3 linked regions of the Caenorhabditis elegans genome follow. The protein of the gene in region 3 purifies or fractionates together with the protein of the main gene of each other region. This does not show direct contact. Each region holds a gene or a part of one and is shown on either strand. Other genes may lie near its edges. The genes, in order: C17H11.5, B0228.9 and comp-1.

Evidence for each region.
Region 1: the proteins of comp-1 (region 3) and C17H11.5 fractionate together in Caenorhabditis elegans (co-fractionation; one large-scale study listed by BioGRID). This does not show direct contact.
Region 2: the proteins of comp-1 (region 3) and B0228.9 fractionate together in Caenorhabditis elegans (co-fractionation; one large-scale study listed by BioGRID). This does not show direct contact.

Annotation. Positions count from the first base shown.
Region 1 is NC_003284.9:8,183,030-8,186,786, reverse strand, and holds the start of C17H11.5 (Phage protein), read left to right. Parts: upstream 1-1,653; 5' UTR 1,654-1,670; coding exon 1,671-1,755; intron 1,756-3,187; coding exon 3,188-3,350; intron 3,351-3,395; coding exon 3,396-3,467; intron 3,468-3,517; coding exon 3,518-3,683; 3' UTR 3,684-3,757. Other genes in the region: C17H11.6 (RBR-type E3 ubiquitin transferase), read left to right, coding at 170-353, 817-1,150.
Region 2 is NC_003280.10:7,761,790-7,765,546, forward strand, and holds B0228.9 (uncharacterized protein), read right to left. Parts: upstream 1,881-3,757; coding exon 1,626-1,880; intron 1,583-1,625; coding exon 1,335-1,582; intron 1,287-1,334; coding exon 1,162-1,286; intron 1,115-1,161; coding exon 1,062-1,114; intron 1,014-1,061; coding exon 897-1,013; intron 851-896; coding exon 595-850; intron 551-594; coding exon 273-550; downstream 1-272. Other genes in the region: srh-39 (Serpentine Receptor, class H), read right to left, coding at 2,148-2,329, 2,513-2,591, 2,650-2,877, 2,920-3,107, 3,360-3,505, 3,552-3,727.
Region 3 is NC_003279.8:6,429,936-6,433,692, forward strand, and holds the start of comp-1 (Protein kinase domain-containing protein), read right to left. Parts: upstream 1,652-3,757; 5' UTR 1,591-1,651; coding exon 1,458-1,590; intron 1,373-1,457; coding exon 1,255-1,372; intron 1,209-1,254; coding exon 1,127-1,208; intron 1,080-1,126; coding exon 936-1,079; intron 824-935; coding exon 722-823; intron 673-721; coding exon 581-672; intron 537-580; coding exon 452-536; intron 269-451; coding exon 108-268; intron 60-107; coding exon 1-59.

The sequences.
Region 1 (3,757 bases), on a different chromosome or scaffold from region 3:
CTATTTTAACAAAATTATGTTAAATTGAAATTTTTTATTCTTGTGAGCTACATAAAATCGCAATGCCGCAGTTGAGTTCGCGTAACAAACTTGAAATGAGAATGCATTGAAAAATATATATAAAGTGTACCAAATCTAATTATTTACCCAACCCCTTCAAATTTTGAAGAGCGCGACGACGATGGGCTTCTTTTCACCGAAGAAGGTGCTGCGTTGCTGATCAATTCACCACCTGCAATGCGCAGCTCTGGAAGTGTGAATATCGATCCCATCGATTTATTCAAAATTCGTAGCTGGCTTGATAATATGAAGCAAATGGTAGCCACTGACGCACCTCAAGAGACACCTTATGAGTGAGTTGCGAAAATTTGAATGTTAAATGTTGTAGGAGGAAGTTTTCGAGAATAAGATGTTTGTGAAAAAAGTGTTATACTGAAATATGAAGTATTATAATCACAAATTTCGATCATTTCAAGCAACAGTTTTTTTAAAACGAATTTTAGCTATTGATTTTTTTGGATTTTAAACAAAAATATCAGAAATTCAGTAGATTTTATGTTGAAATGTGCAAAAAAACCTACAGGCGGAGTGTAATATTGATTTTTTAATGCGATCACTGTAAATGAATTTTGGAAAGGTAATATTTTTAAAAAACGTTTTTCGATTTAATTTGCAGTACTTTTCTTGTACATCATCTTCAAAATACATTTAGTGAAAGCAAGAGCAAAGGTGAAAATAAGTAAAAATGTTTAACTTGAACATTTTTTTCTCCGCTATTGCATTCTTTAGTCTAAAATTATTTGAAAGTGTTTCTAGACCTTCAACGCGACCAAGTAGCAAGCTCCGAAGATCAGGAAGCGGGAAGAGTGTGCATACAGTAGCCACGTTCCCAGTCAACCTCAACACCGGTAACACGGTGAACAGGCAGGGACTCTCGAATTTGTCGAAACCAGAAATTGTTCAAAATATGAGCAACGCTCCTTCGGAGGCTGGAATTACTGTCGCCGCGCCACGTAGCCCGACAGAACTTGAGGCGAACGGTGAGAATGCTGGCGATGACAGTGTGTCGACAAGTTCTTCATCCAGAAGTCAGAAAAAAAAGAAGCGACGTTTTGGAATATTCAGTAATTGGTTCAACAAAACGAAATAATAACATCGCGTTCTTTTTTTTCATTCTGTATAAAAAACATCACTCTATGTCATTTATGTTCCTTCCAGTTGTCTCAACGTGCTTCAACTAGTCATTTCTTCTCATAACCCTGCAATTTTCTCCCTTTCCCCATCTTTTCCATCTTTTCCATTCCAAATTTTCTCCTTATTGTCCAATAACAAAAACATCAACAACAACTCTATGCGGTATTTTTTTCGTACAGTACTTTTTCTCCCTCTTTACTGCTAGCCACGACGTGTGTTTATGTTGTGATTGCCAAAAAGTGTTTCAAAGTCAATCTCGTCAATTTCTCATGTTAACCTGTTTACACTTGTTTCAATTTTTCTTGTCTGACAGTATTGGAATCCAAATTCAAATACAAGTCATCATCTCTTCATTACATTCATTTTTTAATGTTCTCTATATTTTTTTGTAAAATATATTGATTTTAATTGAAAACTTAATTTTGTTTAGTTCTCTCTTAACAATGTTACAAGGTTTTCAGACTGTATAGGCAACGATGACTGGATTTGTTAAACTACTGACCGAAAAAGCAAAAATAGCTATGAGACATCTAAAAGAGTGCGATTTAGATGCACCATGCTGTAAGTTTTAGTATTCATGAACAAAAGTGGTTTTTCTGCATTCAAAACTATTTTTCAAAAAACGAAATCAATTATAATTCCAAAAAAAAAACAGTAAATGAAACATTCTACCTTTTTCAAAATGTTTTTTTTCATAATTTTTATTGGAAATTTCAATATTTTTGTACAAAGCAAACGTTATTTGTAAACACTTGAATAATGATCGCAATCGTTTGAAATTTATGGGCTTATTCAAGTAATGTAGCAAAATGTATTTAAATACATTTGTGACGTCACAAATGTATTTAAATACATGTTTTTATATACTTGAATACAGTTGTGACGTAATTTTTCTACACTTTTTAATTTTCCGACATTACTTGAATAACCCCATTAGAAGGAATGAAAATACTTGAAAAAATTCTTTCACGAGGTCAGTCCATTTTTTCCAAGTTTCAATAAAAAATGATGTTTTCTCATCCAAAAATAAATAATTTATCTACATTACATTTGAAAGACTGTAAAAAAATTCGAGGAAGTTCAAGAAAATTTGACCGAAAAACGCAAAAAAGCCCACATGGGAGGAATTTTATTTATTCATTTATTTATTCATATTTATCCTTATGATGAGTTTTTTGTTCATTTTCTATGTAACGGTTAGAAAATTGAAACATAAATTTAAATCGGCGGCAACGATATAACGCACTGAATTGGCCATCAATGAAAATTACACATTTTTACTGTTTTGTGTCTTCGCGTCGATCAGGATTCAGCGCGTAGTATCGTTGCCGCCAATTTAAATTTATTTTTCAATTTTTCAACCGTAGACTTAAAAAACAAACCAAAAAATGGGCGGAAATAGCCAACCGTCACGAAGTTCTAAAATAGGCCCCACCCCATGCGGGCTTTTTTCCGTTTATCAGTCAAGTTTTCTCGTACTTCCTCGAATTATTTAACTTCCCCTCATATTCTTTCTAATATGGCCGAAAACTAAAATTTAAGACAAATAACCTTCAATTGATAGGCTTCCTTTAGATACAAAATAAGTGCAATATAAGAACAATATAATTTGTTTTTCAAAAGAGCCGAAATAGTATGTCGCAAAGAGGTTTAACGGAAAACAATGTTTTGTTGGCAGAGTTTTGAGATCAAAAAGTGGAAAAAAACTGATAAAATAAAACAAAAGTTTCCTTGACCTAATAAAAAAGTTAAAAAATTTTTTGAAGTTCAATGAAGTTTAGAACAAAAGTCAATTTTAAGTTTTTATTGAGTCTACCTAAAAATTTTCGACATTTTTAGGTCGGTCCAAATTTTTTAAAGAAAAATCTCTCAATTCGAAACCTAGAGGAATTTGAAACATCAGATATATGAGATTTCTCTGTATGCTAGTATTTGTGATATTAGAAAAATACATTTGAAATACTTTCTTTAATACATAGTTTTTCTGGTTCAGTCTGCAGTCACCATCCAGCCGAGACATACGTCTTTCCTGATCAGTACACTCTCAACAAACTGATGAACGGTGAAGCTCCGCCAGGTCCCATACCACGAAATAAATTGAACGACTGGGTTGGAGTTCCTCCGGTATGCCCGGAAAACGATGATGGTGCTATTATGTGAATTGCAATGCCGTATCGTTATTTCATATTCTTAGTTTTCAGAGAATTTTCGGTTGCAATGGAAACCTGTAGATATGATTACATGACCATCAAGTATTGGCTCGACTACCAGAGGTCACCTAACATTTTGAACTATTGTTTTCTGAACTCTAGTTCATTTTCAGAATTTCCATTGCCGCAATGAAAGTGTACGATAGAATGAAACGAGAAAAATATAATCGACCATGTAACGTAGTAATACGGTTCATTTGCCGGGCTATCAGATTACTCTTTGGAATCGAGAACAAGAAGCGCTTTGATGGAGCTCCATTAATTCGAAAGGAAATCTAAACGATCATTTAAACACATTTCAACACATTACTGTGTTAGTTCTATAATTCAATGCTCCGAACATTGTTTTTTTA
Region 2 (3,757 bases), on a different chromosome or scaffold from region 3:
TATACGAATAAAACAGTTCATATCGGAAATAAAGGCATTTTTCAAATGACTGAAAGACTGATTTTGAGATTTTAGAATACGTCAGTTCTAAAACTTTTGAGGTTTTTCTAAAAGTACACATTTTCTAATTAAGCAATGTATTTTATGAAAACAAAAATCGCAGAAAAAATGTTTAGTACTTGATAACCAATTTTTAATCTGCCTTCTTTTTACTTCATTAATTTTTGGAATCTCTGAATATATTCCAACATTTATTAATAAAAAAAATTATGTCAACATTTAAGACGAACATTTAAAAGATTATCCATAAACTTTCTCTTTTTGCTCTCTTCACATTCAAAATACATTCGATTAATTTTCCAATGTCCATTTTTATTCTTGTATCCAACAAATCCCACATCCAACTCCTCTTGCTCCTGAATTTCATTTGCTCGACTGAGAAGAAACGTTGTTGAGAAATCAGCATGCACGAGGTTACGAATTCTAACTTCAGAGACTACACATTTTGCATACCTTGCAACCACTTTATTCATGTATTCACGGATTTTATCTGAATTTCTTGCATTTAAAAATAACTTTCAGTTGTCAGCAAACCATATTTCTGCTCTCTTTTTCCAACACAAGAGCCCCATTTAGTATCATTTGGATCAAATAGGTCCAAGAATGATTGATACACATCCCAATTTTCACCATCAATCATTCCACAAAATCTTTTATTCACTTCTCCCAGTATGACAGATCCATCTAGAACTGCAGGGTACTGTGTCACATCTACAGTGCATCTCTTTGTAACCCAGTAAATTTTCCATAGAAGGTACAAACGATCATTTTCCGGGAAATAATCTTCTGCCTGAAAATTCATGTATTAAAGTGTCGGAAAGCATTAATAAATTTACCTTTTTAACCCGGAAAATATATGTGTCCCGGAATTGTGTAGTATTGTCTGCTGTCCAAGTCGTAGAGAAAGTTATTTCAAAATCTTGATTATTTTTTACATGATCAAATTGATTGTTCTGAATAGTAATCTTAAATGAAAATTAAACTGAAAGTTGAAAATTTACCGAATATTTTCGAATATGATGATATCTAGTACTCATATATTTTATAAACTCATCTGCAAAATAAAGTGAACTTAATTATTTCGTTGTCTCTACAACGTACTTTTATCCATTTTTTGTTCATCACAAACTACAATAATCGCATCATCTGTTATCCAATCCCCAAATTCTTCAAAGTTTTGCAAAGTTTGATCAACTCCATCAGGTAAGAATAATCCGCTTGATAATCTAAAAATGTTCAGCTTTAAAATTTGAACTTTCAATACGAACGCTCACTTTGTTCGAACTCGTTCTAAATAGTTATCAACATCCTCCAACGGCTCTGATGGATCTTTTACAGGAAATACAGAACAATTGTAAGGAAACCAAATGTATTCAATCAAAAATTTATTCTGATTCCAATCCATTGAAGCTTCGTAGGTCCACTTCCCATCTGAGTTTTTCCTGTCTGAACCCATTGCTGTATACGTAAAAATTCCATTTATATAGTTTGGATGATCTGTCCATCTGTCCGATCTAACTTCCTGTAAAACCAATAATTCCATATAAATCTGAAACTATTCTTACAGTTAAATGTTGATAGTAACCAGAGATAAATGTCAATACATGTTGAAACTCTGGAACGGATAAGCTTCGGCCAGGCTCAAAACAAGTACATATTCGAATTTTTGAATGGAAATAGTTAGCTAAATCATCAAAATGTGCACGACTTCTTCCATCAAGAATGCCAACCATATCCTCTTGAAATCGTTTCATCATCATGTCAGAATTTGTTGGATCAGGTTTCCCTTGCTGAGTTGGTGGAGGTGTGACACTTTGCATAAAGGATCTTGTATTGTTTTGATCAATTGGATCAAACCAGTCCAAGTCATAATCATCGAATTCAAATGTTATAGCAAAATTAAAAGTGTGAATATAAGAATATTCATTTTAAACTGACAGGGAAATTGAAACGGAGCTTTTATGGAGCTCTCCTGATTCGATTAAAGTTTTTAATTTAAAATATAGGTTTAGATTTCGATTTGCAATATGAATTGAAGGAAAAGAATTGCATTTTTACAAATGAACATTAAAAAAATGGAATAAATATTACAGCCAGCTTGAGGAAACAGCCAAAACATTGAGGTTCGTACTACTTCTCCGCTTTTTGAATCTCTTCGGGAATAACCACATCTTGAATCTGTTACGAAAAGGGCGGTTGATTGCTATTGTTGAAATTGATGTTATCGATCCATGGAGACTGATAATTATTGTGGAAATATTTACCAAAACTGAAAATTTAGTCCTTCTCATCCAACGACTCATCTTACAATTAGAATGGTTCTTCGGGAAAATAGATTATTAAAAATGACGCAGCCAAACGGGACATAGAACTATGGTCTACCCTAACGAAGGATTCAGAAGTTCGGAAAGGTGTGATCATAAGTAAGTAAGTATCTGAAAGCTTTGCTTACCTTGGTTTCTATAAAGGAGTAGAAATGAGAAGAATGTATATCCCATTGGTAATATTATAACAGCAAGATGAGTTAACATCTGAAAATAAATTTTGATTGTCTAGTTTCTATTGACAAAAGAAAATGAAAAGTGTCACCTGTAGCCACGTCGTATAAAAGAATTTAAGTTGAAGTTTTCTCGTTGCTGAAGACATTTTACTTCTTTCAATTGAAAATAAAAAATAAAAACTAAATCCTGTGAAAAATATAACTTGAATAAGAATCACTAGAGAAAATAGTAAGACTGTAGTAATTAACATTGTATTTGAAACCGGCTTAAAGGAAAATGCAGTTGTGAAAAACTCCGGAATTGGACAGAGAAAGTACTAAAATTCTTGAATGATACTTTACAAAATGAGCGATCTTACATTGACGTAAGAATTTTTAGCCGAATTCTGATCTTCAAGTCTCAAAAATGAAGATATAAGTAGTGAAAAACTTATAACAAACATTATGCAATGGTATTCTCGTCTTTTATTCATTTTAAAACGAAAATATGGTGGACACATAGCATTGAAACGATTTTCAAAAATCATCACAACTGCCGAACCAAGACCTGAAAAGTCCTTAACGTTATAGATCATGGAGTTTAATTTTTGAAACAATTTTTCTACTTGTTTCACACTTGTTGCTGAAAAATGGAAATGAAAAATAGAAAAGAAATCTCGAAATTTGGCGCTATAGTTTCTTCACCAAACTTGACCCAAGAATATTATCTTAGATCAAAAATTGTCAAAACTCGGGCAAAACTTAGTTTTAGCTTTTTTCGGCAATATGCCGCAACTATTTTACTTAATTTTCAATTCACCTGCTATGATTATCACAAGCACTACCAGTTGAATTTCTGTTTTCAACCCAATTAAACTAAATAATCCAACTGGAAGCACTACCAGAGTTGGAATGAAAAAATAAGGAATTAATAGAAACGAATACATCAAATCCATAGCTCTTGTCCTGTGATTTGGAATTAAATTGGTTTGAAGTATTCAGATTTTCTTACCAAAATGCCAAGTTTATTAAACACCGTTTCATATCCTTCATTTGAGTTGGTGAATGATAAATCAAAAGATACATTGCGTAGCTTGTAGGGAAAAGTTCCAGAATAGTGAGAAAAAAACAGAAATTTCTAAAAATTACAGGATTCTCCAGCAAAGAAACTTCTTGTTTGCAATCCATTGTGGTTGATCGAACAAAAAAAAGTAAACG
Region 3 (3,757 bases):
AGGCAACTTCTGGAGCATTCGAATCATAATCAACCATTGTCACAGTGTTATCCGATTTTCTGAAAAATTGTTTGGAATACTACGCAACTTTCAATTATATGACAAACCCTTCATAGAGCAATCCGCTAGCACCATTGAACACCAACTCATAGTTCATTGTTTTTTCATTTTTGTAGCCCAAAACATAAAAGTTATCCACTTTTGAAGCTCCATGATAGATATCAAAACGATGAAGCTCCGATAAGATACGGACAGCAGCAGAGCACAACTGAAAACGTCAAATTCAGTGGGTGTTTTATATTCAATAAATCACGACTATTCAAGAAATTCCTTCGAAATTAAAGATTTCAAGCCCCAGAAATTTGTCTTGACTTTTGAAGTATAACAACATAAGACTGTTTTTAAGAAGGTTCGAATTGTTATGTTTCGTCCTAATTCTGAAAAGTCAAACCTTGATTCTTTGTGCCAAATCCAAATGAGTATCAAAGTTCTTCAAGAAATCTTTCAATGAACATCCAACTTGATTTTCTTGATGCCTGTAATAAATTTATAATTTTCATCCTCTCATTAAATATCTCACTCATAAATCAATGTTGGTGGGTTGAGAATAGCTCCAATTGGAAGACGAATTGGAAGGTTTCTCGCTGCCAATGCTTTTCCCTCGACAAGATTCTGAACTTGATTTAATTTGGAAAATAGCTTTGAAAAGTTTTCAACAAACCTCATAGAACACTTTGAGGTCTGAAATAGTCGGGTTATGAAGTTCTTCGAACAATGCTTTCTTGATCTTTCCATCCGCAAACTTCATTTCTCCAGTATAAACCTTTAAATTAATGAAATTGAGAAAGCCGAGTTACCTGTCTCTCTAAAAAAATTGTCAAACTTTCAACTGTTTTTTTAAATTCGAGTCATATTCGAGTTTTCGATTTTCTCACCAAATGAAAGAAATCCTGCGATTGAATTTTCTTATCTTTGATTCTTTTTCCTGTCTTGCAAATGTTGTGCACATTTGTCGAAGAAAGTCCAAGAAGACGGTTCATTGAAATGTTCTCATCCAGTACACCACCAAGAATGTCGGTCTGAAACAGACATATTAAAAAACGTTCAACGAGACAAAAAAAATTACAAAGTCATTCTTGAGATGATAGACCAATTGTTCAAGTGTCTGAGAACGGGCAAACAACATTCCTTGAATAGCGTATTCATTTCTGAAACTATATTTTCAGCTTTTGTTATTTTTAATGTATTCCATACTCAGAATGATCAATACGAAGATGAATGGCACGAGAAGTTTCCTTTTTCATCTTATTATTTCCAGGAACAATTGAAAGATAATAGGCACCATCCAGTGATTTCGACATACTGAAGTCGCCTAAAAAGTTTTTAAATCGTTTTAAAATATTACTTTATAGTCTCAAAAACAACGTTTTGCAAATTTAACTATTTTCCTCACGAACCTGGATTTTTGAGCACAAAAGCTTCAATGAAAGTGATGGGAACATTGTTAAAAATGGCATCCTTAATATCGTCATCATTTTCCATCGACTTCTCCGTCATCTCAAAATCGTGTTTCGATTCGACCAACGTCATTGCTTTGATTCGATAGATGATCCTTGAGATCAAAATAGTGTTTTGCCAAATGTATGGAATAAATTATTTTGGAGACTCTGGATAGATTAACCTATGGTTTTTAATAATTGGGAAAGTACAGTTCACGTGTAATTATAATTGTTTTCACAATGAGTCATACATTGAATCATTCAATGAAAATATTATTTACAACTGCGTTGCGTATCTGCGCAGATTTCAAAAGTTAGGAATATTATTCCGTGTAAGAAGAATAATTTTTGCATTCTTTATTTTAAAACTGCTATTTCCGTTATAATTTATGTTTATTCAGACGACCAGACAGTAAAAAATAAAAAATAAAAAAAGTATAGTACAGAGTTAAAGCATATATTACGTATCTCATGAGTGCTTTTAAATATTAATTTTTAACAGGAAATCAATTGGTTCGTTTTAACTGGAGGTGTATACAAAACTACAATATATATATATATAATTTATGAAACAAATTTACAATTAAAATACAGAATCCCTTTCCTTATTGCACTTCACATCATCTGAAATAAGAAACACACTTTTCTTTCAAATGCCAAAATAACATTTTCTAGTTTTCCTTTAGTCGCCCTCTCCCGTCAGTTTTTCTCGTTTTTTTCCAGTACGACACATAAAATTTATGAGTTTACAAGCTCCTAGCGGTGCTTTCAAAAAGTGGTCCCTCTTGTTGAAATTCCTTTAAAGTAACAAAAAAGTATAATTCTCAGAGAATTTTGGTTGTGCAAAGTCTTTTTGGAAAGCTAGGCGAGGAACTGGGATTATTGAATTGCTCGTCCATTGGCTCGTTTTCCGTGTGGTGTGGTGTCCTTATTGTTTTGTTCATTTTAAGAAAAAATAGAAAGATTTATCATTTGTAGGGTTATCGCCATTCGTTTTTATTCTTCTCTTTTTTCTCAATTTTTTGTTGTTGTTGGATACTTTGAATTGTCTCAAGGGAAAAATTCAAAAGATTCAAAGATTTGAAAAAATGTTGATGAAAGAGGCTATTCTCGGAATATATCTTCACATGAATGACTACTTTTTTCAGTTGAAACTTCAAAAAAATAATCCAAGTGATTTGGGTAGCTCACTGGAGTATTTATTATAAGCGTATCTAGGCAAAGTTCCTACTGGCACTACTCTACCTTAAATTTTTTTTTTATTTCTGTAGAAATTTCAAAAAATTGCCAGCTTGCCGACTCTGGCGAGAACTAAGTCGGTAAGGCTCGGCAGGTGTTTTTTTGCTGAGTACTAAAATTTTGACTCCTATCCATGTTTCGTTCAAACCAGTCCCTCTTTTTTGTTGCAATGTTTGTATTGGCTCCGTGAGCACTAATTTCCTTTTTTTTAGTTTCAAATAAATCCAAAGGAGAGACAAACAACTATTTTCTAACCAAATTTCCCTTTTTTGCGTCTTTTTTGCATTCTCAAAGTGTCAATCCTATAAGATAAACGAGCAAACTTACATATTTCTATGACGTAACTTCTATCATATTTTTTATTTTTAGATAAATTATTCAACTTCCTAACTTCATCAAGAATGTTCTGGAACACATATTTGTAAAATCTCTTTTTGTTATTGTTTCCAAGTTGGTTTCCAAGAGCATTTGATAATATTTAATCACTTCTAATTTATGATTTGTAAACTTTGATCAAGATGTTTTTAGTTTTCCAAAAAAAAAAGTATTTTCTCAAATAACACACATAGCAAATTTCGTCTAGGATGTGCAAGTGCCAATAACACAAGTTAAATGTGTAAATCTACAATTTTATGGTATGACTTTTATGGTAACTGAGCAGATGACATGGTCCAATCAAGGCCGCCTCTTTATTCGCCCTCCTCGTTCCCGCTAAATACCTTGTGCCTACGTCACGTCTCTGTAAAATGCAAAGCTAAAGTTTGAGCAATTATTTTTATTGTTAATTTGAAAATAATTTTATCTTTAATATGATCCTATCTGGGAAGACTTTATTAATTCAGAAACCAGTGTATGGGCTTGATTAGGTTATCCCATACATTTAAGAAAAATGAAAAAAAAAACATTAAACATTTTATATGTATTTATTTCAGTGTGTTATCCAATTTCGAAGTTTGTAAAACTTATCCAGATGCGGTTTTATTTAGATCTTTTACAATTTTGAAGAATGTTGGTAAACA